3 linked regions of the Arabidopsis thaliana genome follow. The protein of the gene in region 1 interacts with the protein of each later gene in a biochemical or structural test. Each region holds a gene or a part of one and is shown in the gene's direction. Other genes may lie near its edges.

Region 1 (9,364 bases):
GTACTTCAAGATTTTGTCGGCTCCAGCTAATGATGACCATCCCAAAAACGACGTCGTTGAAGGCCAAAATCTAGTCAAAGAAATCTACGAAGCCTTAAGAGCTAGTCCTCAGTGGAACGAGATTCTCTTCGTTGTTGTTTATGATGAACATGGTGGTTATTATGACCACGTCCCTACTCCAGTCATTGGTGTCCCAAATCCTGATGGTCTAGTTGGACCTGAGCCCTATAACTTTAAGTTTGACCGGCTTGGTGTTAGGGTTCCTGCTTTGCTAATCTCGCCTTGGATCGAACCTGGAACGGGTACGTATGTTTTGAATTGGAACCGAGTTGTGTTAGTTTAGACTTTAGTGTGGTATTGTCATGTTGGTCAAAACCGGTTATAATAATTTACTGGTGATGACATTATTTTTTAGTGTTACACGAGCCAAATGGACCAGAGCCAACGTCGCAGTTCGAACATTCATCAATTCCGGCAACACTGAAGAAAATATTCAACCTCAAGAGCTTTCTTACAAAGCGTGACGAATGGGCTGGAACACTCGATGCTGTCATCAACCGGACCAGCCCAAGGACGGACTGCCCCGGTAAAATATATAGTTGGTTATATAGTCCATATTAAACGCAATATATGTTTAATGAGTTTTTGGATTATTACACAGTCACATTACCGGAACTTCCTAGGGCAAGAGACATAGACATTGGAACACAAGAAGAAGACGAAGATCTCACTGATTTTCAAATCGAACTGATTCAAGCAGCGGCTGTACTAAAAGGAGATCATATCAAAGACATTTACCCGTTTAAGCTCGCAGATAAAATGAAGGTTTTGGATGCGGCTAGGTACGTAGAAGAAGCTTTCACTAGATTCCATGGTGAGTCCAAGAAGGCTAAAGAAGAAGGCCGTGATGAGCATGAGATCGTTGATCTTTCTAAAGGATCTACTCGTCACTCGACTCCTAAGTCTTTTGTTCAGAAGTTATTCTCGTGTTTGATTTGTGATAATTGATCTTGAGTTGAAACAGATTTGATCTCTGTGAGATTTGGTGTATTTCTCGGATTTTATGTGAAGAGCGTTTGAAATTTGATATTTGTTTGTTTTCCAAATTTTATGTTTTACATTTCCGAATGAGGTTCATTAGGAGAGGTACCTCCGCGAAAAACAGAGTATTTTAACGAAGGGTTCAACAAAACAGAGCAAAAACAGAACAGAACAGAGGAATTTAAATTGAACAAAAAGCAAATTCTAACAAAACAAAAGAGTGATCCTTTGTTATTTGTAGCTATGATAAGTCTTCCTCTTCTTGATATGACAACTGCAAGCATCCATGGTAGAAGAAGTCATACAACCAAACTTCCTCTTTACTTCTCTCCACACACTTGTCTTCTTCTTCTCGCAATGAACAACACATTCAAGATTCTCAATCTTTCTTTTCTTCATGTAATCAGGTTCTATCTCGAGCTTTAACAACTTCTTACTCATACTCTCCACTTCATCTACTTGATTTTCTGTTCTCTCCACTACACCTTTCATTTCTCTAGCCACCTTATCCCGAATCTGCATCTGAGAAACAAACAAAACTTGCATAACAATCCTCAATGGAAGCTTCTCGTTCTTTGAAGCATGTTCACAAGCCTCGGGTGAAAGTTTCTTACAATGAAGAAACCTACAAGCTTCCATCTTCTCCGATTCAATCAAGTCTCTATGCCTCTCCAAGTAAACATCAATCGCTCTGTATATTCCATCAGAGTAACTCAGCACATCACAAGACGCAGCAACTGCAATTTCTGCTAGTTCCTTGAATGTTCCTACCCTTAAACCAGCATCACTCGCAGCAGCCTCCAACAGAAACTCTTCCAACATTCTCGCTACACTCACAAACCGCGAAAGATCCGGGACACTATCGTTACTATAGAAGCTCTTGAGAATGGTTTTCAAGAGCTCGATGTCATAAGATCCATCTTCTGTTGGTGACAGAATCTGGAGATCTTTTGCTCTAGCCATGTCAAGCTGGTTACTTATCCTAACTTCAAACCCTTTTCGGCAATCAGAGCAAGCACCAAGAAAAATCGATTCTTTCAGCGATTTGAACAGAAATCCAGACGAGATTGTTCCTCTTTGGTGAGGCAAAAGCCTCTCAACAGCTTCAATTCCTTCTCTCTTGTTTCTTGAAACGCTTCCGTCTCCCGAATCTTTCTCGAAAACCCATCTATTCGCGTAATTGCAGACAGAGGCCACAAGGTTTTCTAACGAGACATTGTGCTTACTCACTTCTAGAATCAATGGTTCATATAACCGAAGTGGTAATGTAATCAAATCTTGGAGCAACCTAGTATCGTTGAGAGCCTTTTCGATAAGAGAATCTAAGAAAACTTCGATGAGTCCAACATTAGCTAGTTTGTCCAAAATCTTATCGCTGCAGATACAAAGAGCTTTCACGGTCTCACTCCAGCTCATAAGAACTCGTTGTTCCAAGAACGTAACTGCCTTGTTCAACAAGTTGTTAGAGCTATGATCATCGCTCATCTCTAGGTAATAAGCAATGCATAACACAGAGACGATATTGTCAGCTGATAATTCGATTTTGTATCCATAACAGAATCTAGTCACGAGGTGGAAGATACTTGGGTTGATGTCCATGTCTCTGATGATCCAACGCAGTTCATGGAGCTTGTTACTCTCGAGTAATGTCGTCACTTTCGCCGATCTCTTAGCTAAAGTCTCCTAACCAAACACCAACACCAAATATCGAAACCCTCGAAATCAGAAGAAACCACAAAAAGAGATAAATCTCAGCGAAATCGGATTCAAAAGCTTACTTTGTTAAGATGAAAATGAACGCCTTTCACATAGAGGTCAAGATCTTGTGACTTTGAATTTCTACAAACGATTAACATTAGGTTTAATACATATTTCACAGAAAATTAACACGAAATGGAAGAGATTAAGAGTTTTACTGGTTCGATGGGTTCTTCGAATATCTATTTGACATTTTGTACTAGCCTTTCTACTGAATGAATAGATTGTATATGTTTGCGAACACTAGTTTGTGGTTGTAACTTGTTGTCCAAGGAACAGAAGCTTGTGTTTGACGGGGTTCTGCAACCAGAGAACAAGAAGACAAAAAGCATTCCTCAATACTGAAGATTAAATCAAAAGTTAAAAGGAAAAAAAAGAGATAAAAAGAGACGTTAGAAGAAAGAGTGTGGTTCTTGCTGAGATTTAGGAATTATTGTTATGATATTGTGGGATTTCTCAAAGAAAATGTAAAATATCGAAACGCTTCCTTTAGCGATATGACTGGGTAAATTATAAATAAATCTTATTCAATAAAATATATTTATAAAAAAATACAGGACTAAAAACCTTTTGACTGAATAATACAAGATGACTGGGTAAATTATTAATAAATCATATTCTACTATTACTAATTTTTTTAATTAACGAAAAGGAAATAAAAGATTATAAAAAATAAAATAACGAAATGACAAATTCAATGTTCGGCCACAACAACATAAACCAAACAACCTCCGGTTTAGTTGATAGCAGATGCCACTATGCTAGCAACTTGAAGAATTCTAACATCAGTAAGGCCAAATTTTGAAGTGGCTAACTTTTGCACCACTAGATAATTAAGGCCAAATTTTAAATTTTATGAAGCTATCTAAATCAAAATTTTACCAATGTGAAAATTTTATTACTAATTTGAATTTCATTTAACACATTAATCAAATCAATTTTTCTATCAAAGTTGTTTTTAATACTTACAACATCTCACTCAATTCTCGTTGAGTACTGACAAGGAGCAACGCGATAGAATCATGATTTGGCTTTGCCTACAGAAAGCAAAAGAAATCAAGAATTCGAAACATTACCAGAAAACTTCAAAGGTTTTTTTTTTACTTACATCAATCGATCCACCGGTCATTGTGTAATCTATTGAGAGGACTGGCTGTATCTTCCGCAGAGAGCAACAGAGAGCATCATTGCTGGCTTGGAACGAGAGAAAGGTCTCGAGTCTATCTCTAAGGCAACCAAAAGCTTAGCTATGATGAAGACATCTCTCTCTTTGCCTATGAATGGAGAATACAACAAATAATATATATAATGCGATGGAGATTTCTAATCTTTGCTTCTCTTCTCCCAAAGAGAAATAGATGAGAAAGATTGTTGACTTTGCTTTCTGTTGGTCTTCGTTTCTCTCTCGAAGAAGAAAGAAGAAGAAGGTGAATAGAGACTTATGATTTCTCAAGAATGAAGAAGAAGATTGTAGAGTGTTAGTGTTTAGTTCTGTTCTTCTGGTAATCTGTGTTTTTTTTAATGTAAATTACACAAGTATGCAAAACTTTTGTAAGGGGCTACTGTTATATGATGTAATGGGATTTATAAGAAAAAATGTAAAAATCAAACATCATAACTGGGTTTACACAAGACAATAAGAAGAAGATACAATGTATCTGATACATAGTTACAACTTCTACCAAGTAAGCAACAGAAACAACATAATTTTGGTATTGAATGAGTTTTTCTTTTGCAAGTATTAACACACAACAGCAGAAACAGAAGATGATTGTTCTTTTGTCTCTTTGATCAGAGATGATGGTACAATTCTGTTGAGAGACACCATTTTTACTGGTCTGTAAGCAATTTGGAACCTGGATAAGAAAACAACCTCACAGAATTCACATAACTTAACTCCGCAAGCTCTTCCTTCTTCATGTTTGACAGGTTCGCAACATAATCTAGTACCTATTCATCACGGAAAAGATTAGACAAGTAATGAGCTGAAATAAGCAAAAAGTCAGATGATGATAAGAACATACAGCAAGAATGTTTGCAGGCTCATTGAGAGTTGGTTTTGGATCCGAAGAACTCTCATCTGATTTTGGTAACCCGTCAGGTGAATCCGTCTCCAATAAGAGCCTATCGGAAGGAATCTTTACCAGACCAGGTAAAAAGAATTCAATACATTCGTTTTCCAGAAGTTTGTATAATTACAGAGGAAAAAAGCAAACCGATTTCAAAGTCTTCTTGGCAATTTTCTCATCAATGTAAGTGAACCAGCCAGAAAAAGAGAAGTATGCACCAAGCTCAGCGAGTTTAGGAACAACTTCAGCTGAACCATTGAATGAATGAAGAATCACCCCAGCAGGAAAAGGCCCTATGGATCTGCGTGTATTTATTTTGAGAAACTTAGTGCTATATCTTTGTAAATGCAACATGTAGATATACATACCTCATTATCTCTAGGAGATCATCAAATGCATCGATGCAATGAACTGCTACTGGTTTGTTCAGTTCTTTTGCAAGTTCAAGCTGTGGGCGAAACACGACTAGCTGGTCTGAGTAATCAATTCCTCCTGCTAAGGGACCTTTGTCTAAACCAATCTGCAAAACACACATTAAATTTTATGAAGATGTTAATCTAATGAGATCTCAGCCAAAAGGGGTTTCATTACAACATATCATTTTGCAGTTTACACTAAATCTTGAACCAACAAAGCAAACATTTCAGAATTCAAAAAGAAATTGAAGACAAAGATTTTAGTTTAGATGAATAAGTGATAAAGACACAAACTTCTCCAACAGCAGCAGTAGGAGTGGTCTCAAAGAACTTCTTCAATGTTTTAAACCAATGAGGGCTTCTATCAGCAATAAACCTGCAAACCAAAACAGAGAAAAGAAAAAGAAGAAACTTTGATCTGAAACTTTTGTGCATCAATTGCAAAAAGGATCGTCTGTACATAAAACCCATATATACCAAGGATGGAGTCCAAAGCAAGGAACAACAGAAGGATACGTCTCTCCCATCTCTTTCACCAAGTTCCAATCTTTCTGGCTCCATTAACAAAACCTCTTAAAAATATGTATACGTTTGTGTAATATAGATGACAGTGACCAAGCGATCATGAAAATTTGGGAACAAACCTCGGAGGTTCCATTGACTGCGAAATTGGTAACACCGACAGCTAAAGCAGCAGATATGAGCTGCGAGGCTTTGTCGATGACCCTCTTGTCTTGGAGGTGACAATGAGCATCAAACAACTTCATTTTCACCGTGAGGTTCTTGGTTCTAACAGATCCCTGTGACTTCTTTCTTCTCTTTGAGGTTCTTAAAGTATATGGAGATATATATATATAGATAGGTTATGTACCTGTGTTTATAGCTTAACCCTAAAGATATGGTTTGATCATATGATCAACACAAAGAGTTGACTTTTGAGATAGTTTGAGGTTTAAGAGACGCTACAAAACTCTGATCTGGATTTACTTGAACTTGAAGAGTAAAATGACTAACCTTTGTGTTTAATAGATTATCTACAGTAAACAAATACTTTTCGTATTAACCTAACTTGTGTCAGATTAGAGTAAGGAATAAAAATAAGAGTTATCTCTATCTGTGATATTATTAAGAACAAAGAGTACAAGTCATATGTTTTGTCAAACGCACATACAAAGGCAGGCATGTCTTGGTTTCTAGACCACCTGAAGACCAAAAATAGATGAAATGTGTACAAGATAATAGAAGTGTTACCTGTCTGAAGACAGAGTCAATGAAGGCAGAAACATCTTCTTAGCTGACATTTTCTTCAGTTACTCCAGAATAATTGGAAGCAAGATTGAAGTAACACATTGTTGGCATTGAAGTTTCGACCAAATAAAGATTCGAATCGCTTTAGTCACACTTGTGTAAGCTTTGTTCTGTTTTCATCTGAGCAAGGGCATGAACCACATTCTGAAGCTCCTCCCATATGGCTTCTTTATACATCATCCTTCGACTGTTCACTGATGATTTCCCCTTGAACGCCGCTGATACCACCTTAATGCTGCATCAGAATTCTGATTTATAGTTTGGTTAGCTTGTTCTTCTCTTCTGTTTCTGTTGCAAAATTTGATCAATTTTTTTTGAAAAATCTTTTTTTTTCCTTTTGGAAAAATAAATAAAATAAAAACAAAGTGATCTCAGCCGTTGGGTCGAGTACTTTGGCTAAAAATAAAGTGATCTCAGCCGTTGGATCGTGTACTTTGGCTTCACCGCAACTAAAAGAAGCGTCATCATATAAATCAATCGCACCGTCTGTGTCGAAACAAGGCAAACCCAAAAGAGGTTTCTTCTTCTGTCAAATCTTTCTCTCCTCTCTCTCTCTGATATTCTTCGTCGTCCCATCTGCGAATTGTTTACACAGAGATATAGAGAGGAAGAGAACCGCCTAAGGAAAATGGCGAACAGTCACACCGATGACTTGGACGAGCTTCTCGATAGTAAGTCTTCTCTACAATTTGATCGGCGTTTTCTCGAATTCTATCTAAATTGTGTTCCTGCCCATTTATCATGTTTGTTTAAAGGTTTTGTCTTTTAGGGTTTTTATTGATTCTCTGAGAATTTTGGGGTTTATCTTCTGTGGTTTTGTCTGTCTCAGGTGCATTGGATGATTTCAAAGATCTCAATCTTTCTCATCAAAGGTTACTCCTTTTTCCTATGTGTTTACCTCCATAGTCTCAAACTTTTTTGGATTTGAGTTTAGAGACTTTCAATTCCCAAGTTAGAGATTTCTGTGTTTTAGCTCTGAATCGTTTTTGGGATGTGTTGTTGTAGAAATCAAAGGGAAGCTCAAGAGGAGGAGGAAAAGAAGAGGAAAGAAGAGACGGTTTTATTACCGAGTGGAGTTCAAGGTCTTGGAATGGGATTACCAGATATGAGAAGCAAGAAGAGAGGAAAACAAAAGGTTTCCAAAGAGGATCATGTTGCTGAAGCTCTTGATAAGCTTAGGGAACAAACTAGGGAAACTGTCAAAGGATTGGAATCCATTTCTTCTAAGCAGCTGCCTGCTTCTGATGATGATGGAATGGTTGAGGATTTTCTCAAACAATTCGAGGATCTTGCTGGATCTAAGGTAATATACCGTGAAACTGAATCTGTCTCTACTTAATTGAATTGAAACTCGAAAGTTTAGTCTTTCGATCATCAGTTGAAAATATTATGCTGTCTTTTACTGTACTACAAGTAGATTTTAGTAGAACATTCTGCTGGATGATGTTTCATTGCGGAACCGATCTGTGAGTTCTTCTATTGTATCTTCAAGGTTATGAGTTCATAGAACTGGTCGCTGATTGATTAGAATTTGTTCTTTATGCTATGTTAAGGTTATATAGAGCTCATTATCTACTTGGTATTTGTCGCTCTGTTGACTCTCATCTTGTTTTTGCATACTAGGACTTGGAATCAATAGTCGAGACGATGATGCAACAGCTATTGTCGAAGGATATTCTCCACGAACCAATGAAGGAGCTTGGCGCAAGATATCCGAAATGGCTAAAAGAGAATGAAGCCAGTCTAAGCAAAGAAGACTACAAACGATATTCACAACAGTACAAACTAATAGAAGAACTCAATGCAGTGTACGAGAATGAACCTAACAATTCATCTAAGATAATGGAGATCATGCAAAAGATGCAGGAATGTGGACAACCCCCGAGTGATATAGTTAAAGAGATTGATCCCGGGTTTGATTTCGCAAGTCTTGGCCAAATGTGAGTTCCTCTTTCCTCCTCTGTATCTCATTTTCTCAATTGGGTTTGGATCTCCCTTACCTGAAAATGAACCAATGTTTCATGTTTATTTTATCTACAGATCCCCAGAGATGCTGGAGTCCTCGCCAAATTGCTGTATCATGTGATGGGGCCAAACAGCTTCAAGAATTATATGTCGTTTGTTTTTCTCTTGTGTTATAAAACTCAAAAGCTCTGTTTCAATTATGATTGGAATTTCACACACACAAAAAGCCTTACGATGATAATAGCCAATCACACAATATCATTCTTCCCAACTGAATACACATCTTTAAAAATAAGTTAAGCCAAAGCGTTCCTTTGCACCTTTTATTTTGATTAGTGGAAAAAAAAAAAATCGTGTCTACATGGAGTATTGATGTGTTTACCTATATCTATTGTTTAAGGTTAATACATTCTAGAGTCGAGACAAAAGAAATCTCATAATAGTATAATACCAAACTAACACACGTAAAATGTGCAATACTATATAACTACGTATATATATGTATGTGTGGTGAAGACAGTATCTCGTACGTGTGATTCTATCTTCAAAGTATCAAAGTATGGACCATCAAGTGTCTCTGCCACAATCTACCACCACTGGTCTTTCTTTCAAGGTGCATCGCCAGCAGCGGGAGCTAGTCACTCCGGCTAAACCAACGCCACGAGAGCTCAAGCCTCTCTCCGACATAGACGACCAACAAGGACTAAGATTTCAAATTCCAGTTATTTTTTTCTATAGACCTAACCTTTCAAGTGATCTTGATCCGGTCCAGGTGATAAAGAAAGCCCTCGCCGATGCGCTGGTTTA
Region 2 (10,472 bases), on another chromosome or scaffold:
CCCGGATATTTTCAAATCAATGACTAACCTTCGAATCCTCACTCTCTCACGCAACAGATTCTCCGGGAAGCTCCCTCCGTCGATTGCATCGCTCGCGCCGGTTCTTGCGTTCCTTGAGCTAGGTCAGAACAATCTCTCGGGGTCGATACCGAGCTATTTATCAAGATTCGTGGCGCTCGACACACTGGATCTCTCCAAGAACCGTTTCTCTGGAGCCGTGCCGAAGAGTTTGGCCAAGCTGACTAAAATTGCTAATATCAATCTCTCTCACAATCTTCTAACCAATCCATTCCCTGTTTTGAACGTGAAGAATTACATCTTGACTCTAGATCTGTCGTACAACAAGTTTCACATGGAAACAATCCCGGAATGGGTGACCTCAGCGTCGATCCTCGGCTCTTTGAAGTTGGCTAAATGTGGAATCAAGATGAGCTTAGACGATTGGAAAACAAGGCAAACTGATCTCTACGTTTCCATTGATCTTTCGGACAACGAGATCTCAGGGAGTCCACTGAGGTTCTTGAAGGGAGCAGAGCAACTACGGGAGTTTCGAATGTCGGGGAACAAACTCCGATTCGATTTGAGGAAGCTAAGTTTCTCGACGACGCTCGAGACGCTTGATCTATCAAGGAACTTAGTGTTCGGGAAAGTGCCGGCGAGGGTGGCCGGATTAAAGACACTTAACTTGAGTCAAAACCATCTTTGTGGGAAACTTCCGGTGACAAAGTTTCCAGAAAGTGTGTTTGCCGGCAACGACTGTCTATGCGGCTCCCCGCTAAGTCATTGTAAAGGTTAATGGATTCATTCATCGTCATGTTATATTGTTTTTGAACTTCATGTGTCACAAGTTCCATATTCTTCTTTTGTCTTTGTTTAATTTTCGTATTCTCTTTAAGTTCCTTTATTTACTGATTTTGTGTTACTGATTTTGGTATATGAATATCGCCACACAACACCTTCAAATCTTCTAATTTTTTTCTGAACTAATCAATTATAATGGAAAAGTTTCTAGAAAACAAGTGCGCTCTATACGTATAAAACAAGGTGAGACAGATTCGTGCATCGTTTATTCATGTGCAAATGTAGCTTATTATGTTGTTGTAGCTTATTTGCGATAAAAACATAGCTAGAGATTTGTTGTTGTAGCTTATTTTTAGCAAATGCGTTAGAATTTTTTTCTATATAGTTACTGAAATATAAAAAGGATGCTAGTAATTAACGAGAGAGTCGTATAAAACTATAAATTCAATATTTCTTTTATTTGTTGAACAACACGAAAAGGGAAAAAAAAATGCAAGTAATACGGGAGTGTCATATGAAGAATTGAAAACATATTTCCATAAGCCAATTGGATTTAATCAAGCAGAGACCGATGTTGTAGTTGGAGCAGGGTTATCGAACTCAACACACATTTTTAGCAGTGGCACTTCAGCGTCATCACCATATTCATCAACAAGGGATATGACAATCTTGGACTTATCCTTCTAATTAGTTTAAAGAAAGAAAAAAAAAACCGTCAGGCAAACCAAGTAAATATACTATTGTGGTTTTTAGATTGTTCGGTTTTAAAATACATTTATCAAAGTGAAACCGTTTGTCCAAAAATTAAAATAAAAAATACTTACATGAGGGAGTGACTGCAAACCAGGAACTTTGGAAAGAGTTAACACAAATTTTTCGCCAGGTTCAATAGAGCATGGATCCTCACCCATCACATCACTGAGGTCGTAATTTATTATAGTGCTATTCACATTTTCATATTTATACAACACATGTATAGTTGCTCTATAGATGATGTAGCCTGTAAACACAAATATATTTTCTTACAAGATAAGATATTGGAAACTATAAATGAAAACAATTAAAAGAATAGAAAATATTACGTACTATCATCACTTGTAAAGCCGGATATGGTAATGGTTGGCTCGTCGTAAGGCCCAACAGGGTATGGAGAGATCTCCACACGTGTGACGTTCGTAATACCGTAATTGTAGTCAATAGGTGCATCTTTAGTCGCACCGATTTAGAGCATGTTAACAATTGTAGAAGTTATCAGTAAGTCATGGCAGGTAAAAAAAAAACTTGGATCTACATCCTAATTTCTTACAAAAATAAATCCTAAATTTCTTTATTTGGAAATTTGGTATGTCAAATGATAGGGTCATAGGGGTAAGTGTTTCTTTATTTATTTATTTGTAGGATTAACAAAAGATAAATCTATTTTAAATTTCGATCAGATTTCAAATTGTTTGATCTATCTTTGAATATTGGAGGAACTCTGGACCTGCAATATTTTAGTTATAATACTCAGTTCTTGACTTATACACCACGGCTCTCGAAAACCACACTGAAGGAAAAAAAAAAGAAAAAAGTCTTCGGTGAATACTTCACAATTATTGGGTTATTTTATAGATGGGAGTACTTTCATAGTTTCATTGATCTGTTCTTTCTATATAAACGTTTTCACAGTAGCAAAATACTCTATTTCTGTTTTATGGAATTGACGACTAATGTGAGTTCCGGTTCAAGATTTATTTGGTAAAACAAAAAACAGAGATAGGAGCAAACCACAATCTATGAAATTCAGGCATATTCTTTTCATTGAATTGACTTATCAAGTAACAAGAATTGATGTTCTATATAACAATATAAGACTTAACAAAAACGATACTTACTTTTGCAGTTTTCAAAATTGTATGCGCCGGCGCCAAAAGCAGATAAGAAATAGAGTGATGATAGGAGAAGCAGAACAGGTTGGGCGTGAGATATCGCCATGGGTTATATCTTCGAAAGATAAAAAAGATTAATGCCTGTTTTGTTTTGACAAACAAGTCTGTAATACGTATGCTTAAATTCATTCATGCCTAGTATTTTATATAGTCTATATAATATAATATTCTGCTTAACTAGTGGATGATTCATCCCTATATAATAATCTTCCACGTTATACTTATTCCTATATGATATAATCCTAATTTATACGTGAGAATCTTAAAAAAATGAGTGTTGCCTGAAATCTCAATATTTCAAATATTACCACCTTTTATATACAAGGACGTGAATTCTTTTAGATAAAAAAAAATCCCAAAGATGGAGTTGTTTGACTGCGACCATGTCTGTTGGTTCGGCGTGATTTCCAAAACACAACTGTTATTAGCATCATACAAAATTTAAAACCGATCACAAACCGAAAAAACAAAAATGTATGCATAGATATACATTGCGCTTAAACCATATACTGGGGAACTAAATGGTCAACGTTAACGCAACATGGCATACAAATCTTATTTTTGAGATAAGATGAAATAGTAATAAAATAAAATAAACCATACCCGAACCACATGGTCGAAGCTAAACACAACCTGGCAAATACTTTCATTATTAGAGGTTTTTGTTTCCCCACTTTGAGATGCACCACCGGTTAAATAGGTGAATCTTTAATTTCTTCGACATGAACTCACACATGCCTGTGAATTGAAGAATTTGGTCATAGTTGGCAATACCAATGACATTTTATTTATATTTTGGTTAAAAATACAAATGACATCTAAAGTCATATTCTAAAATCTCGCTTTTAACGAAGCATATAAATATATCTGGATATTACTTTGATTCGGTCCACTAATTAAGCAAAATATTTTAATCTAATAGACTATAAAAATAGTAGGCATGAATAACATGTTTTATGATATATATATATATGATTTTGTGTTTTTTTGGATTTGTGGTTTTAGGACTTTAGGATTTTAAGATGTTTTTTTTTTTTAATATCTAGATATTTTTTAATTTGTTACTGAAATTTTTTCTTGGTTTTATTATAATATGTTTTTTAGATTTTTATTACTTATAAATTTTTCTTTTATTTTTATCTAGATATCAATATAACCAATTAAACCAATAAATTTTATGGTTGTGGATTTGAGTATATAAATTCAACTTATATAAATACATGGGTTGGGTCAAACTCGTCTATTAAAATCTCAAATCCATGTGGGTTTGGGTAAGGTTACTCATTTTGACATCTTTGGTTAAAATAGTTACCTCTAGTTTTGTTTCAGTCCCACATCTCAATTTGTTTTAACACAGTCATTTCGTCGAACACCTCATATGCGTTGTTGTTGTATACTAAATTACTAATACTTTAAACAAAGACTAACAAAAATGGCTTAATTCGATAATCAAAACCACTATTTGGATCAAACGTTGACTAATCTCACTTAAATCACTCTTCTGTTTTCCTCTAATGACGGATGAAGAACAGAGTTAGTTTTCAAGGTTTATCCACAGATCCACTGAAATCAACAATGGTGAATAAAGCTCCGAAGAGGAAACATGTATCACCTGAATCTCTCCTTCTCTCTATTCTCAATGATTTGTTGTTTCTAAATTCTCAAAAGCTTGACTCTTGTTTCCGTAGAAAATCGAATTCAGATGCGTGTAGCTTTATAGTTAGCTTAAATTTTGCAAAAGTTGGAAATTTTACTTCAAGATCCAATGAAATTGCTCCATTGATCAATGAAGCTGTTGCTAAAGGCAAGAACTTTGATACTGGGTGAGGACAAGAACCTTGTAGATACTGTTTTTCTTTAAAACATTTGTGTCTAAACTACATGTTTTGTTAGGACAAGAGTTGGATTAGATGTTGGTCATCTTCTTAAATCTGCATTAGCTGGAGGAATCTCATGTGCTTTCTCTGCTTTTTTGATGCATCCAGTGGATACTGTCAAGGTATAATGGTAATTTCATTTCAGGTTCTTCTTTTGTGTTTATGAGATTGTTCTGATTACTTACATTTGTCTTGGATCATTAAGACACAAGTTCAAGCATCAACTACATTGTCGTTTCTCGAAATATTGTCAAAGATTCCAGAGATTGGTGCTCGAGGTTTATACAAAGGCTCGATTCCGGCTGTTGTTGGTCAATTTGCTAGGTTTCATCTCTTATGCTTTGCCTTGTGGTTATTGGTTATAAGCATTATCATGATTTCATCTCTTGTTTAAACATTTTTCAGTCATGGTTTACGAACAAGTATATATGAAGCAAGTAAACTTGCGTTACCGCTCGTTGCTCCTACTCTTCTTGATATTCAAGTTAGTAATTGTAAAAAGCTCATTGCCAACTTTATTGCTACATAATGTTTCGTTCTTTGAATTTTTTTGCTTCTTGATTATTTTAGGTTCAGTCAATCGCGTCTTTTATTGGTACGGTATTGGGGACAACGTTGCGAATACCGTGTGAAGTGTTGAAACAACGGTTACAAGCCAACCAGTTTGATAACATAGTGGAAGCTACAGTTTCGACTTGGCATCAAGAAGGGCTCAAAGGACTCTTTCGTGGGACCGGTGTTACCCTTCTACGTGAGGTTCCCTTCTACGTTGCTGGCATGGGACTTTACAACCAATCAAAGAAGGTAATCATGATAGAACAGAACAATGACATGTCTTTGTGTAATTAATAAGACGTGGTTGCGATTGAGTTTCACAGGTGGTGGAGAGACAATTAGGAAGAGAGTTGGAGCCGTGGGAAGCCATCGCGGTTGGAGCCTTGTCCGGTGGTTTCACTGCAGTTTTAACAACGCCATTCGATGTGATTAAAACAAGAATGATGACGGCTCCACAAGGCGTGGAATTGTCGATGTTGATGGCTGCTTATTCAATTCTCACACATGAGGGTCCTCTTGCTTTCTACAAAGGAGCTGTTCCAAGGTTTTTCTGGACTGCTCCTCTCGGAGCCTTGAACTTAGCTGGCTATGAACTTCTTCAAAAGGCTATGATCACACCTCTGAATCAATCAGTGCATAGTGAGTAAGATTGGAAAACTAGACCAACATTTTGTGTTATAATAATTTATTTCATGTTTATGTATTCTAAATCTTGAGAAAAAAAAATATATTCTACAAAAATAACATAATTTACTTCTTTTTTTTTTTCTCAAGTGTAGTATTGTATTAAACGTAACCCGATCATACACGGGCTACACTAAAAGCCCCACGAAAAGTTTACAGAAATATTTGAGGCCCAACAAGAGCCTATCGGATAACCGCATACTGCATAAGAAAATTTGTTTGTACTCCACCTAAGCCCACGTGTCAGCAACTGGATACAACCACGACACATGCTGGATGAGTAATCGAAAGATTTCCGACATCAACCTTCGCCGTTGAGCATCGATTTCGGTGAGAAGATTATCGCCGAAATATAATCGGTCGTTGAATCCTTTGTTTGTCACCGTTGCTAAGCTAATCGAAACTCCAAAAAGAAACTAACAGCTTTAAGGCAATCATAATATGCTTCGAAAGATTCTTCTTTCCTTATGTCTCTGGAAAGATTTCTGCAAACCAAAAGCTCAAAAGAAACAAGTCGGAGAAATCCATTCTTTAAGTGACACAACACCTAAAACATCATCACCAACTCAGATCTAATGAGATTATTGAAACAAAAAAACTTAACAAACCCAAAACTGGCCGAAGACACCGTAAACAAGACGGCAAATCGCCAGACATAAGCCAGCCAACACTACTTTAGAAGCTAGTCGATGCTGGACAGGAGCCGGATAAACCGGACGGCGAGGATAGAACATGCATATGAGATCACGATCGGACTTTACCAAAAAAACAAACTCTCTCTCTCAAAAGTTTTTGAGAGAGAAGAGAGAAAGTTTTCGTCAAGGTTAATATCTCCTTTAATAATTTAATTATGGAAACACTTTGCTCGGATTTATTTTTAACATAATTTACTTAACATCATGTATTCTAAAAAACTAATCAGCTCACCCGAATCGATTGACTATTACAAAATACTGCTTAATATAGACAAATATTTGATCATAAAAATAATTAAAAAGATTATAATTAATAAAATATTATTGATCTCATATATAAATGGCATCGATACATTTGCAAATATTTATTTTTCCTTTGAATTAAAAAAAAATATCAAAGGCCGAATAAAAAACATCATTCGGCAAGTTCATCGATCCACGAAAAAAAAGAAACGATGAGGCTTAATGGGGATTCGGGTCCGGGTCAGGATGAACCCGGTTCGAGCGGGTTTCACGGCGGAATCAGACGATTCCCGTTAGCAGCTCAGCCGGAGATTATGAGAGCTGCTGAGAAAGACGATCAATACGCTTCTTTCATCCACGAAGCTTGCCGCGATGCCTTCCGACACCTTTTCGGTACAATTTTTCCGACACCAAACCAAACAACAACAACTGTCTACTTTAATTGCTTCATCGTTATTGTCCAATTAATAACTAATTTTTATCACTCTTAGGTACAAGAATCGCTCTTGCTTACCAGAAGGAGGTAATATACACTAAATTATATTTGTCTGAGTTTCCATGAGATTTTTGATTATTTGTTTTTATTGTTTTTGGATAGATGAAGCTACTTGGACAGATGCTTTACTATGTTCTTACGACAGGTTCAGGGCAACAAACTTTAGGAGAGGAATATTGTGACATTATACAGGTTTTTGTTACTTTATACAATCTTCCTTAAGTGTGCTTCTACAAAACCATTTTACCTTCTGATGTAGAATGATATAATATAGGTTGCAGGGCCTTATGGACTCTCTCCTACACCAGCTAGACGTGCTTTGTTCATATTGTACCAGACCGCAGTTCCATATATCGCAGAGAGAATTAGGTTTCGTCGCATTTCTTATTGTTGTTTTACAAAGAAAAATTTGAATCTTGTCCGCTGATATTGATATAATTGTCTACAGCACTCGAGCTGCTACGCAAGCAGTCACCTTTGATGAGTCTGATGAGTTTTTTGGTGATAGTCATATCCACTCACCAAGAATGATAGATCTTCCATCTTCATCTCAAGTTGAAACTTCAACTTCTGTAGTATCTAGGTTAAACGATAGACTTATGAGATCGTGGCACCGAGCTATTCAGCGATGGCCTGTGGTAATGTATACCCCTCACGTTTAATTTTCCATGGTTCGTTCACTTGTTTTCTGCGTAGCAAATGTTGTTTTATACAAGGTTTTGTGCCTTTTAGGTTCTTCCTGTTGCCCGCGAAGTCTTACAACTGGTTTTGCGTGCCAATCTGATGCTCTTCTACTTTGAAGGTGAATTTTGTGAGAAATATTTAACTCATGTAGAGCATGTTCTGAACTAGTAACCTTTGTTTCTTTTCAGGTTTTTATTATCATATATCGAAACGTGCATCCGGGGTTCGTTATGTTTTCATAGGAAAGCAACTGAATCAGAGACCTAGGTAATGATTTTTTTGTCTTCTTTTACACTTGCAACTCTTGACTTTTACTATCACAGAGTAACTGAACTCCCTTAAGTCTTGTTGAGCAGATACCAAATTCTTGGGGTTTTCCTTCTAATCCAATTGTGCATCCTTGCTGCTGAGGGCTTGCGTCGGAGTAATTTGTCATCTATCACTAGCTCCATTCAGCAGGCTTCTATAGGATCTTATCAAACTTCAGGAGGTCTGGCTCTCATGTCCTTGATTATGAATGTTAATAATCTAGAATTTCCCAACATTACGGATATTTGTGGAGGATATATATGTTAGATTGTCAGTACTATAGTTTCAATAAACTATGGTCTAAATTGGCATCATGGTAAAAGTTTGTTAGAAAGATACATGAGAGAAGATAACATAGGCTGAAATATTCTGCTTGTTATGCATCACCCTATTTCACATTACAGTAATATAGTTTTGGTATTGTTCTTGCAGGGAGAGGTTTACCTGTTTTAAATGAAGAGGGGAATTTGATAACTTCGGAAGCTGAAAAGGGAAACTGGTCTACCTCCGATTCAACTTCAACGGAGGTAAAATATTTATAAATAAGTTAGAAACTTCTGTTACTTTGTAATGGCTAATATCTTGAATAGTGATCATTATTGGGAAAGGACAATAGGTAATAATATACTTGGAAGAGAGGCACATAACTCTGAGCAAAATGTATTATGCTCTTACGCAAAGGTTATGTTGTATAAGTGTGATTAAGAAAACCAAAATGATAGTTTACTCTGTTGGTATGAGTATCTGATAAGAGTAGATGGCCACTCGACTGATCCCGCTCTACATATAGTTTCTAGCGAGACAAGGTTATATGTTAATCCTATTTTGAGACTATTCTAAATTTAAAAAAACTCCAGAGGGGTTTATTTTTCTCTCGTTTTGATGAAATCAATATGTTACCACTTGTTATGTTAGGTGTTTACCTTGCTATGTACTTCGATTGCAGGCAGTAGGGAAATGCACTCTCTGCTTAAGCACCCGTCAGCACCCAACGGCCACTCCTTGTGGTCATGTGTTTTGTTGGTAATAAACCTTCCTCTACCGTAATTGCTTATTTTGTCCTGGGCCTGATCTGGAACGAGTTAACACCTACAAACCTTGATAAGTTTCAGAATCCAGAGAATTTCAATATCTTGATGTCCATTGGTTGAAACTGCTTTTGATAAGATGAACTTTGTATCGAACATTTACTCGAACTACAAAACCTAAGATCCAAAAGTTGACACCGGAACATTGTGCTCATTTTGAAAGTCATGTTGTCATGTGCAGGAGCTGCATTATGGAATGGTGCAACGAGAAGCAAGAATGCCCTCTTTGTCGAACGCCCAATACCCATTCAAGTTTGGTTTGTTTGTATCATTCTGATTTTTAGGCACAATGGGATCAACAAAGACAGGCACTGCAGAAAGGCAAAGCAGCTAAGACAGTGACACCTAAGGACAGTGCATCTGCTACAGGAATGGAATCTGCTTCGGCTTCAGACTTTTTGAGTAAGATCAACAAGTTATGAGAGAAGACAGAATAAATATATTTCTGACATCATTCTCGATCCCATGCCTACCTTTTTCTCTATGATATTTAGTGCAGAAACCACAGAGGTTTGTTGTTTTACATTTCATTAAAAAGAGTTGGAGATGTTAGGTGGTCTTTCACATTCTATATTACATATAATAATCTCAATTGGAGATCTATTACAAGACAAGAAAATCTCATATTAGGCACAATACCATTTTAAAATGTTAGGTGTTGTTCGTTTAATCAGTTAGGTAGTGCCTCTGGGTGATCCATCCAGAAGATCCATTCAGATGCATCATTTGGATGATGTTCGTTTCTGAAGTTGATAGTGCATCTGGATGAATCATTTGAATGCAGATGTGTTCGTTTGAATTGTTTTTTAACAATGTGCATCTGCATCTGAATGCATAATGTACCAAATGACTAAAAAGGACATATATTTATTTTAGTGTAATTCTTCAAATTTTAAAGGAGTATTTTAGAGATTTACCATTTTTGACTGCAGCTGATGCATCTAGATGCACCGATCAAAGTCAGCTAAATATTTTAATTTTTTTGAATGAGTTTTATAAACTCAGCCAACTGATGTATCAAACTATTCTGTTATATTGTGTTCAAACGAACATCAGTTATCATCTGCATCTAGATGCATCAGTCAACTGATCAAACGAACGACACCTTAATC
Region 3 (10,113 bases), on another chromosome or scaffold:
ATTTGTTCCCACTTTTGTATACACTGTATTTTAGATCAAAGACCTTGGTCAAAGAATCAGATTTTCATTTACTAGTAGTATTATTTTTTGATAAAAAGCTACTTTACCAATCGATTAATTACATTTCTTTCATAGTTATACTATGATCATTGTATTATATGAAATGTCTATCTACAAATGTCCTAATTATTTGTCAGTTTATATCGCACTATTAACTTGACATGACTTTCACTTTTTTACTAAACCCATTAGTCAAAAAGTGGTGGAGTCAAAAGTCGTTGATCGTTGACTTGGGATACATGGGGGAGAAAGTGTTAAGTGCCCAAACAAAAAGACAGCGACTCATTAGAGAATTACGTGTTATAAATTAAACTTTTTTGGTATTACAATTCTTAAGTCTTGCAGTATTTGATAATTTGGGTAATTAATCGAGTCTCCAAGCAAAATACATATATAACCATAAACTTGAATATACTTGCAGCACTACATATGAGTGGGATACAAGCAATATATTTTTTCATTATTCAACACATTCGTCAAAGTCGAGTTAATACGGGCCATGTGAGTATCTCCACAATACTCAAGTTACTGTTAAGTGCATAATCATCACTAAGTATAGTTTACAAACATACAATTAACACATTGAAGTAATCTGTATATATATATATATATAGTGTTTACAAACATACAATTAGTCATATTATTAACGAACTTGCAACTAGTCAGTTATTAATAAACGTATAATTATTAAATTACGCGAGGATACAAATAGATTTATTCGTATTTACTAAGCACATGAGCAAAAACAATGAAAGCGCGTTGAGAAAGAACAGAAAAGAAAGCAAAAAAAAAGTGTCGTTTTTGGTCCTCCATGTGAGTGATCTGTGATCTCAACTTTCTCACTTTTGCATTAAATTCTTATCCTTTTTCTTTATTTCCTTTTTCATGTTTGTATTTATTTAATTTACGAGTAGTTTGCATTATCATACATTCATACTATAGATTCGCTAAACACGTAAAAATAGAGACAAATTATTAGTATTAAACAGAAGTGACAAATACCATTTTAGATGATTAGATCATTCGATTGAATAGACTCCCATTTTAACGAGGTCGTTATCGGATCAATGTACTTATTCAATATGGTAGCTGCACATACAAAACTAGATACAATATTAATCTAGAAATCAAACTAAATATATAGTTGTAATATTTTAAGTGGAAAGATAGCCTTTTGTCTCTCGACAATGGGATCACCATTAAACCAAATCAGATAGAAGTTGTGGGAGTAGTTATGCTTAAATTCCTTTTGTTTTTTCACATAATAATAGCGTATGAAAATTTAGTTACACATACACAAAAATGTCTCTTCTATATTTATTTATAAGAAAACGACTTTTCTAATTTTAGATCTCGCAAATGATTGCTATTGTTTTTTTACTACTACTCACGTACAATGAAACTTTCCAACAATTCATTTTTTTTTTACTTATCACCTACCAAATACAAACAATCACATAAATACAAAAAAATGCAGAATCATATAAAAAATTAGACAAGTAGCAGAGAATCTGCAACATGACGGTGCGGTTAAACAGTAGTAAGTACATTGATATTATCAAAGGGACTGAATTAGTAAATTCTCTGGTCTCCATCTTCTCTCTTATCGTTCACACACACACAAACACTCATATATAAACACATATGCACACTGTCACTAATGCTTCTCTCTCTCTCTCTTTCTCTTTTCCTATATATTGACAAGCTTGCGATCTCTGTTCGCTAGATCTGTCTGAAACAGTGAGGGGATTCCTAGGTTTCAGAGCAAAGTAATGTCTCCACTCAAGTACTTGTGTTTTAGAAAGGTACTCTTGTTGTTGCTCTATTCCAGTCTCTTCCTATTCTCTTCTTCTTCTTTCTTTGCCTCATCAGTTGATGATCATGAGCTACAACGAATAGATCCTCATTTCCGAGTGAGAAGATTGTTGGTGAAAGATCTGGATTCAACTGGTGATGATGATGAAACCAATCTTCCTCCTCCTCCTAAGAAGAAGAAGCTTCTTACTGATTCTGTTTCATCATCATCATCATCATCTGGTACTAAGAAGAATCAAACCAAGCTCCTTAAACCCATCTCTTCTTCTTCTTCCACCAAGAACCAAACTAAACTCGCCAAGACCACCACCATGGGTACGTCTCACAAACTTAACTCCACAAAATCTTCTTCTAACACAACCAAGACCAGCTCTGAGCTCAAGAAGCTCAATTCCGGAACAAAATCCACAAATTCTACTTCTTCGATCAAGAAATCAGCAGATCTGTCCAAATCAAGCTCATCCAAAAACAAAACCACCATAAAACCCCCAAGTTCCAAACTTTCTTCACCTCCATCAGAGAAGAAATCACAACCCTCCTCAAAACCAGTGACCAAATCGAAACAATCCGAGAAAGAAATCAAACCATTCTGGCTAGACGACGAAGAAGACGAAGATTTCGTAAGCGAATTCAGAGATCTACCAACAAGATTCCAAAGATCCCTAATCCCAGACCTAGAGCGAATCTCAACAACATCCAAAAACTACATCAACAAAGCCAACAAACAGATCACCAAAAACTTCAAACCCTATTTCGGCAACAAATACGCACCAACCATAGCTTCCGTAGTCTCTTTCGTCTTCATCCTCGTCCCTCTACTCTTAGTCTCACTCATTTTCAACAGATTCAAAGCTTATTTCTCACTCCAGAAGATCCTAATCTTCATCCAAATCTACCTCTCGATCTACTTCTCAATCCTATGCCTCTCATCGCTCGTCACCGGAATCGAACCACTCAAGTTTCTCTACGCAACATCGAGCTCAACATACGTTTGCTTGCAGATCCTGCAAACCCTAGGCTACGTCTTCTACCTCTTGCTTCTTCTCATGTACCTCGTTCTCGTCTTCTCCACGGATTGTGGTTTGGGCCTTAAGGTATTGGGCTTGGCGCAGACCTTTGTGGGCTTTGCTGTAGGTCTGCATTATTACGTGGCGGTGTTTCATAGGGTGGTGCTTCGTCAGCCTCCGAAGACGAACTGGAAGATACACGGTGTGTATGCCACGTGTTTCCTTTTGATTTGTCTGTTATCTAATGCTGAGAGGAGGAAGAAAGAGTACTTGGAAGAAGGCGGTGACGAAGGGAAGAAAAATTGAAATTTTCTTTATTTTATTCTTCTCTATCTTTGTATTTTTATATTTTAAATTTTGAAAAATTCGGCAAAATTTTAGCTGAGAAATGCAATAGAAAGAACAATTACTGGTGGATGGTTGGAAACTTTTTTTAAAAACTTCAATTGTATTTATAATAAATCGATAAATGTGGAATAAAATTTCATAATCTCATTATAATTGTCTCTTTTTTTTCTTTGTAAAAATTACAAATATGTTGTGAAATGTGGACGGCGAGAAGAATGAATTAATTAAATGTTTTTCTTGATAACCGCGAAAATTAAATGTTTCTGTTTGAAATAAAAAAAATATGAGAAGTCAAAAATTAAATAAGGTGGGGTCTACGGAATCGTAGAGTCGACGACTTTCGTGAGGATGGGGCATTTCGGTCATTGAAGGAGTTACCGACGGAACTGGGTGCTGTAGTGTTTTATTGACTTGTGTCGGTGGATTGGCGATTGAGTGTGGGGCGTATGGTGAGAAAAATGGGGCTTTTGTGTCCTAACGTGTTGTTGTATGGGCCACTCATTTCTCAAGGCCCATCACCTCACCTCATATTGTGCCGGAATGTTGTTTTAACTTTATGACGTGACGTGTGTATTATGAAACTGAAAATAGAGTTCCTCCAACTTTGAATCTATTTTACAATTTTATTATTATTTTTTTTTTTTGTCAAATCATAGAAATTACATGCACAACTATCACGACGATAGAAATTTATAAGCACAATTAGCCAAATAAAAAAATCGAGGAAAAAGTTTCTAAATGTAGGCAATGCCCAAATGTCATAAATAGCCTACTTATTTTGTCAATCTTGTCACTTAGAAACTCGGCACTTGTATAAAAACGTTTCATTCAACTTTTGGTATCACATGTACATTATTCAATTGTGAATTCCTAAATTTATTGTGTGCTGTGATAATTCACCAGATCAACCAGTTTAAAGACCCGTGAACAAAAATGCCCATAACATTTTTTTGTATTGGGTTTCAATCAAGTTAAGGCCCATTTTGGTTTAGTATACGGATTGTGTTGGGCGAAAGGAGTGATGTAATATGTACTTATCAGAAACAAAGTAGGAAGACATCACAGTATCACAACATTGATTTGTGTGCTTCAATCATGCGGTGTACAATTTGCACTTTTCCCACTTCACAAAATTCACACCTTAAATATCAATTTGTGAAAAGTATTGACTTTTAACTTTACCAAATTAAACTCTTTTAGTGAACAATCTTTAACAACCATTTTATTTCACATATCTGATGACTCAATAATTCGTGCAAATTTCAAATGTCCTTGTATATTATCGTGTTTGAATTTCAACTTTTTTTCCAAACATGAAATAACAATCCATGATTTTATTGCTAATATGTCTATCATATATTTAAGTTTACAGACCAATCACAATTTCCTCAATTAGAAAAAACAAACTTACCAATGGAAGGATAGCAGTGTATGTCCATAGGACTCGACACTTCTATACATAGTACTATTTGTATTCAAATTATACATAAAGGAAATAAATCTGTCTATACATGGTTTTAGTACCAAGTTTTTTAATAAGAAAAAAGAAACAATTGATAGTTTGATACATTACCAACTAGGCTAAGATATTTTATTTATTTTTACAGTACAGCGTTAACATTTTTTTTAACGAGAATGAAACGGTGGCTAGAGTTACCTGAGTAAAAAATCTAAAAAATAAGGTAAAAATATCTGATAGCATTCGTAACGAAATCAATTAGTACTAGACAAGAAGATGGTATAAAAATAGAAGAAAAGTAAAAAATGGCACGAGTGAATATGTTCGCACGTGTAAAATAAGCGTCATCATCTTCTCCTCTTCCCAAGTTTCGGCTCTCACTTTCTCTCGTTCTCTCTCTCTCTCTCTATCTCTATCTCTCGATTTGGGGGAGTTCCGTCACGGTGGACTAGTACGTCTCGTTGCCGTTGGTGGCGTAGTCGGAATTAATTTCCTCGGCGTTGAGATTCACATGGTCTAGAATTCTAGCTAAGTGGTTGTTGTTGTTGTTACGATTTCCGATTTCTCGAGTTTTTTTTTTATATTTAGCTTCTGTTTCGTTTATCCCTCCCGGAGACACTCCTTGGTCGAATCTCTCATGCTGAGGTAATTCGTCATGGATTTGTTTAATTGCATAAGCTTTTTTGCAATTGTCTAAGCTTTTATCGGTTTGTTTTGTTTTTTGATTTACGAATCTAGATTTTGCGCTTTCTTATGTATGTAATCAGGATCAAATTTGCTGGGTTGTTAAACAATTTTTGTCTGTGTTAGGATTCTAATTACGCGTGTTACTATACATGAATCATTTTCATTGTTTTTCTTCTTGATCCAAAAGTGTGAGAATCTTACTTTAGGCGTAATTCACATTTTTTGCATTAATTTCAACGGTTACACGTTTTTTTTCTTTGCTTTAGATTTGTTATAATTTGGTTGTTCTAATATTCATAACCTTGGAGTTTTGGTATTACTTCAGGTGTTTTGGACACTTGTTGTCAAGAAGAAACCAGTTTTGGTTCTGATTAATCGTTGGTTGGAAAATATACTCAATTCCAGGCCATGCCTTCACTTCAACTATTGCAGTTAACTGAGCGGGGTCGGGGTCTTGTAGCGTCAAGACGGTAACCATTTCCTTGCTCTTCATTGTATTCTAGATGGAAGTTTTTTTTGTTCGTTTGGGCTCAGATTTCATCTTTCTCTGTTTCATTCTTTAGGAAATCTATACTGCTTGCGGCTGGGATTGTAGCTGCTGGTGGAACTGCTGTTTACCTGAAATCAAGGGTCGCTTCCCGGAGGCCTGATTCTTCGCGTCTTTGCAATGGTCAGAGTGATGATGATGAGACTTTGGAAAAGCTGACTGCAACTGATCAAAATGCAAAGATAACCACGAAAAAGAAGAAAGGAGGAGGATTGAAGTCTCTTCAGGTTCTGACTGCTATTCTTCTCTCTCAGATGGGAAAAATGGGTGCCAGGGATCTTTTGGCACTAGTCGCCACCGTGGTATGCATTTCCTCTTAATTAATAAGTTTTTACTTTTGTTTTATGTTTTTGCCCAAGTCAGATAGATTTTCTGTCTGGTTGTTTAAGTTTGATCTCGTGCTGTTGCAAAGTCCTGTAGATATTCATGGAAATTCACAATTGCGAACCGTTGCTTTATTGTTATGGAATACCGGGTGTCTCTCTTTTTAGCTGAAAGAAACACCAATCTAACTTTACGGCCAATAGTCGGGAAAAGTCTGGTTACTTCTCTTACTTATGCGGGACTAGTACTCTTTCCAATCTGTTATTCTATAACTTGTAGGTTTTCAGAACAGCTTTGAGCAATAGATTGGCAAAAGTGCAAGGTTTCCTTTTCCGTGCTGCTTTCTTAAGGCGTGCGCCACTGTTTCTACGGCTCATCTCCGAGAATATTATGTTGTGTTTCATGCTATCAACATTGCACTCTACTTCAAAGTACATAACTGGGGCATTGAGTTTGCGATTCAGAAAGATATTGACCAAGATTATCCATTCACACTATTTTGAGGTAGCAACTGCCATCTCTTCTGCCATTCAATTGTTTACTATTTCTTTAGATACGAGTGTTTTTGACTAGTGAGAGTATCGAGTATACTTCAGACTGCTGGATATCTCTTCACTCAGTTTTAATTGTTGTTTTCAGAATATGGTATATTACAAAATATCACACGTGGATGGTCGGATTACGCACCCTGAACAAAGAATTGCCAGCGATGTACCAAGATTCTCCTCAGAGTTGAGCGATCTTATACTGGATGATTTGACGGCGGTTACTGATGGAATTTTGTATGCATGGCGCCTGTGTTCATATGCTAGTCCAAAATACATCTTCTGGATACTGGTGATTCATGTTTAATCTTCTATACTTCAAGATTGACCTTATGTTGGGCCATTTATGCTGCTTTTCCTTGTATCCGTTCACAGTACAATTCTTTCGGTCTGGTATCTATAAACTAACCTATACAATTGTTGTGTAGGCCTATGTACTGGGGGCTGGGACGGCGATAAGAAACTTTTCTCCTTCTTTTGGGAAATTGATGTCCAAGGAACAGCAGTTAGAAGGAGAGTACCGGCAACTTCATTCACGCTTAAGGACTCATTCGGAAAGCATAGCATTCTATGGTGGGGAAACCAGGGAAGAATCTCATATACAACAAAAGTTCAAGAATCTTGTTAGCCATATGAGTCACGTGCTTCATGATCACTGGTGGTTTGGTATGATCCAAGATTTTCTGCTGAAGTATCTTGGGGCCACAGTTGCAGTTATTCTGATTATCGAACCATTCTTCTCTGGGCATCTAAGACCTGACGACTCGACCTTAGGAAGAGCTGAGATGCTTAGCAATATAAGATATCACACTAGTGTCATTATATCTCTCTTTCAGGCGTTGGGAACACTTTCTATAAGTTCCAGGCGGCTCAACCGACTCAGGTAATGCTTTATGTTGGATCTCATGTCAGACGCTTAAATGGTGAATACTGTTTAGCTGTTTCTAATTATTGGAATGTTGTTGCTTCCGGCAGTGGTTATGCTGACCGAATCCATGAGTTGATGGCTGTCTCAAGAGAACTCAGTGGTGATGATAAATCGTCTTTCCAGAGAAATAGAAGCAGAAATTATCTAAGTGAAGCTAATTATGTAGAGTTTTCCGATGTCAAGGTAGTTGGAATAGATTCATGTTACTGTAATCCTTTCCAAAATGTCGTGTTCTTAATGTTTCTTAACACACTCTAGGTTGTTACTCCAACCGGAAATGTTTTGGTGGAGGATCTCACCCTTCGAGTTGAGCAAGGGTCTAATCTTCTGATTACAGGTGAACGCTTTATATCTAGAACATAATATGACTATCAATTTCCCTTTTCATTGCTTTTTTTTTTTGCACAGTAAAGCGTATACCACTACTGTTTAGTTCTATGGTCCTTGAGATGAGTAGCAAAGATGAAAATCTCAGTACCCCTTGTTGTCCTTATGAAGTGCAAAAAAATGGGAATGTGAATTTGAAATACTATTCTGAAAGAATTAATTCTTCTTGTATTCTGGAAGGGATAGCACTATAAACTTGTCAAAATTAGATTTGGTATGCCTAGTTATTGACGAACCATTCATATCCAGCTCAACGACTAGGGTGTTAGTGGAATGCTGGCAACACATCATCTTCTGGGGTTGATTTACTGGACTATTTTTGGCTTTCTGGGTTTTCATTTTATGTTATATTGATTAAGCAATAACATCTAGATTCGAAATTTTGATTTCTGCTTACCTGATATATCATTATTTGCTCAACAATATGTATCGTAGGTCCTAATGGAAGTGGCAAGAGTTCCCTTTTCCGAGTATTAGGAGGTCTATGGCCCCTGGTGTCTGGACATATTGTGAAGCCAGGAGTTGGTTCTGATCTTAACAAGGAGATCTTCTATGTGCCGCAACGGCCTTATATGGCAGTAGGAACACTTCGTGACCAGTTAATATATCCTCTTACTTCTGGCCAAGAGAGTGAACTGCTCACTGAGATTGGAATGGTGGAGCTATTGAAAAATGTCAGTATCCTTGTTTCTCTATTCTATACTAGGATGGTTTAAGTTAGTGTTTTGTATGTTACGCTTATTTTTGTGGACTTTTGCTTGTAGGTTGATCTAGAATATTTATTGGATCGCTACCAACCTGAAAAAGAGGTTAATTGGGGTGATGAATTATCTCTTGGAGAGCAACAGAGATTGGGTATGGCCAGACTATTCTACCACAAACCCAAATTTGCAATTCTAGATGAATGCACAAGTGCTGTCACAACTGATATGGAAGAACGCTTTGCCGCTAAGGTTCGAGCTATGGGAACTTCTTGCATAACAATCTCCCATCGTCCAGCGCTTGTTGCATTCCATGATGTTGTTCTGTCATTAGACGGTGAAGGAGGATGGAGTGTTCATTACAAGAGGTTGGGATTGTTTCTTAGCCATGTTTGTGAGAATTATTAAAGTTTATTTTTATTTACTTATTAAAATGACTAAACCTTCAGGGATGACTCTGCCCTTCTGACGGATGCTGAAATTGATTCAGTGAAAAGTTCAGATACAGATCGGCAAAATGATGCGATGGTTGTTCAACGAGCGTTTGCTGCAGCTAGAAAGGTCTCAGCCGAAGTTTTATTTGTTTATTATAATTTTCGTTGACGATGGTTCTAACCTGGTTACTCGGTGCTTTGTAGGAATCTGCTACTAATTCAAAGGCTCAGTCGTACCAGACACAGTTAATTGCAAGATCACCTGTTGTAGATAAAAGTGTAGTGTTGCCTCGTTTTCCTCAACCTCAAACATCCCAAAGGGCTTTACCATCAAGAGTAGCTGCAATGTTAAACGTGTTGGTGAGCTTGAGTTACTAGTGTGAATTTTATTGTAGATAGCTGTACCAATCATTCTTAACTTAGATATCAATACACATGCTTTTTGCAGCTGCATTCATATATCCACCTTTTTCTCTTCCATTCTCCTCAGCTTGGCATTTCAGTGCATTTCTTTAGCTTCCTTGGAAACCCCACCTTTTGTTTTGCATTTCCACTTGGCTAACTTATTCGTCCTGCGCTGATGCTAATATTGATATTATACTTCTCAAAATAACTGACCACTTCATTGTTACATTTCAGATACCCACTATATTTGACAAGCAAGGAGCTCAACTGCTTGCTGTTGCTTGCCTTGTCGTCTCAAGAACGCTGATCTCTGACCGAATAGCCTCTTTGAATGGTAAACATACTCCATATTGTTACTTGATCAGTTTTATTGATAGGGTTCCTTTTCTAACAAGCAACCATGATTTTTGCAGGGACCACTGTGAAGTATGTCTTGGAGCAAGATAAGGCAGCCTTTGTTCGTTTG

The links.
Region 2: the proteins of PEX19-1 (region 1) and PEX10 form a complex in vitro, tested with the Arabidopsis thaliana proteins (one study listed by BioGRID).
Region 3: the proteins of PEX19-1 (region 1) and ABCD1 form a complex in vitro, tested with the Arabidopsis thaliana proteins (one study listed by BioGRID).

The regions. Positions count from the first base shown.
Region 1 is NC_003074.8:829,616-838,979, reverse strand, and holds PEX19-1 (peroxin 19-1), read left to right. Parts: upstream 1-6,982; 5' UTR 6,983-7,220; coding exon 7,221-7,263; intron 7,264-7,421; coding exon 7,422-7,464; intron 7,465-7,597; coding exon 7,598-7,895; intron 7,896-8,215; coding exon 8,216-8,532; intron 8,533-8,632; coding exon 8,633-8,678; 3' UTR 8,679-8,864; downstream 8,865-9,364. Other genes in the region: NPC3 (non-specific phospholipase C3), read left to right, coding at 1-302, 416-586, 662-1,008; AT3G03510 (Phototropic-responsive NPH3 family protein), read right to left, coding at 1,273-2,640; AT3G03500 (TatD related DNase), read right to left, coding at 4,630-4,749, 4,824-4,937, 5,016-5,169, 5,237-5,388, 5,579-5,660, 5,762-5,835, 5,929-6,051; CHAT (acetyl CoA:(Z)-3-hexen-1-ol acetyltransferase), read left to right, coding at 9,117-9,364.
Region 2 is NC_003071.7:11,216,939-11,227,410, reverse strand, and holds PEX10 (peroxin 10), read left to right. Parts: upstream 1-6,903; 5' UTR 6,904-6,995; coding exon 6,996-7,176; intron 7,177-7,274; coding exon 7,275-7,306; exon of another isoform or gene 7,307-7,381; coding exon 7,382-7,471; intron 7,472-7,553; coding exon 7,554-7,648; intron 7,649-7,727; coding exon 7,728-7,917; intron 7,918-8,011; coding exon 8,012-8,081; intron 8,082-8,151; coding exon 8,152-8,230; intron 8,231-8,319; coding exon 8,320-8,453; intron 8,454-8,704; coding exon 8,705-8,799; coding exon of another isoform or gene 8,800-8,814; exon of another isoform or gene 8,815-8,880; coding exon of another isoform or gene 8,881-8,892; exon of another isoform or gene 8,893-9,218; coding exon 9,219-9,295; intron 9,296-9,541; coding exon 9,542-9,644; 3' UTR 9,645-9,972; downstream 9,973-10,472. Other genes in the region: AT2G26380 (Leucine-rich repeat (LRR) family protein), read left to right, coding at 1-796; AT2G26370 (MD-2-related lipid recognition domain-containing protein), read right to left, coding at 1,359-1,484, 1,626-1,801, 1,888-2,007, 2,676-2,775; AT2G26360 (Mitochondrial substrate carrier family protein), read left to right, coding at 4,251-4,552, 4,623-4,728, 4,812-4,930, 5,012-5,090, 5,177-5,410, 5,485-5,808; AT2G26340 (uncharacterized protein), read right to left, coding at 10,420-10,465. UniProt on the Arabidopsis thaliana protein: E3 ubiquitin-protein ligase component of a retrotranslocation channel required for peroxisome organization by mediating export of the PEX5 receptor from peroxisomes to the cytosol, thereby promoting PEX5 recycling.
Region 3 is NC_003075.7:18,483,436-18,493,548, forward strand, and holds the start of ABCD1 (peroxisomal ABC transporter 1), read left to right. Parts: upstream 1-4,998; 5' UTR 4,999-5,334; exon of another isoform or gene 5,335-5,701; 5' UTR 5,702-5,784; coding exon 5,785-5,846; intron 5,847-5,939; coding exon 5,940-6,225; intron 6,226-6,526; coding exon 6,527-6,751; intron 6,752-6,886; coding exon 6,887-7,084; intron 7,085-7,220; coding exon 7,221-7,675; intron 7,676-7,767; coding exon 7,768-7,903; intron 7,904-7,978; coding exon 7,979-8,057; intron 8,058-8,542; coding exon 8,543-8,781; intron 8,782-8,871; coding exon 8,872-9,176; intron 9,177-9,257; coding exon 9,258-9,369; intron 9,370-9,446; coding exon 9,447-9,602; intron 9,603-9,881; coding exon 9,882-9,981; intron 9,982-10,060; coding exon 10,061-10,113. Other genes in the region: AT4G39840 (cell wall integrity/stress response component-like protein), read left to right, coding at 1,833-3,188. UniProt on the Arabidopsis thaliana protein: Contributes to the transport of fatty acids and their derivatives (acyl CoAs) across the peroxisomal membrane. Provides acetate to the glyoxylate cycle in developing seedlings.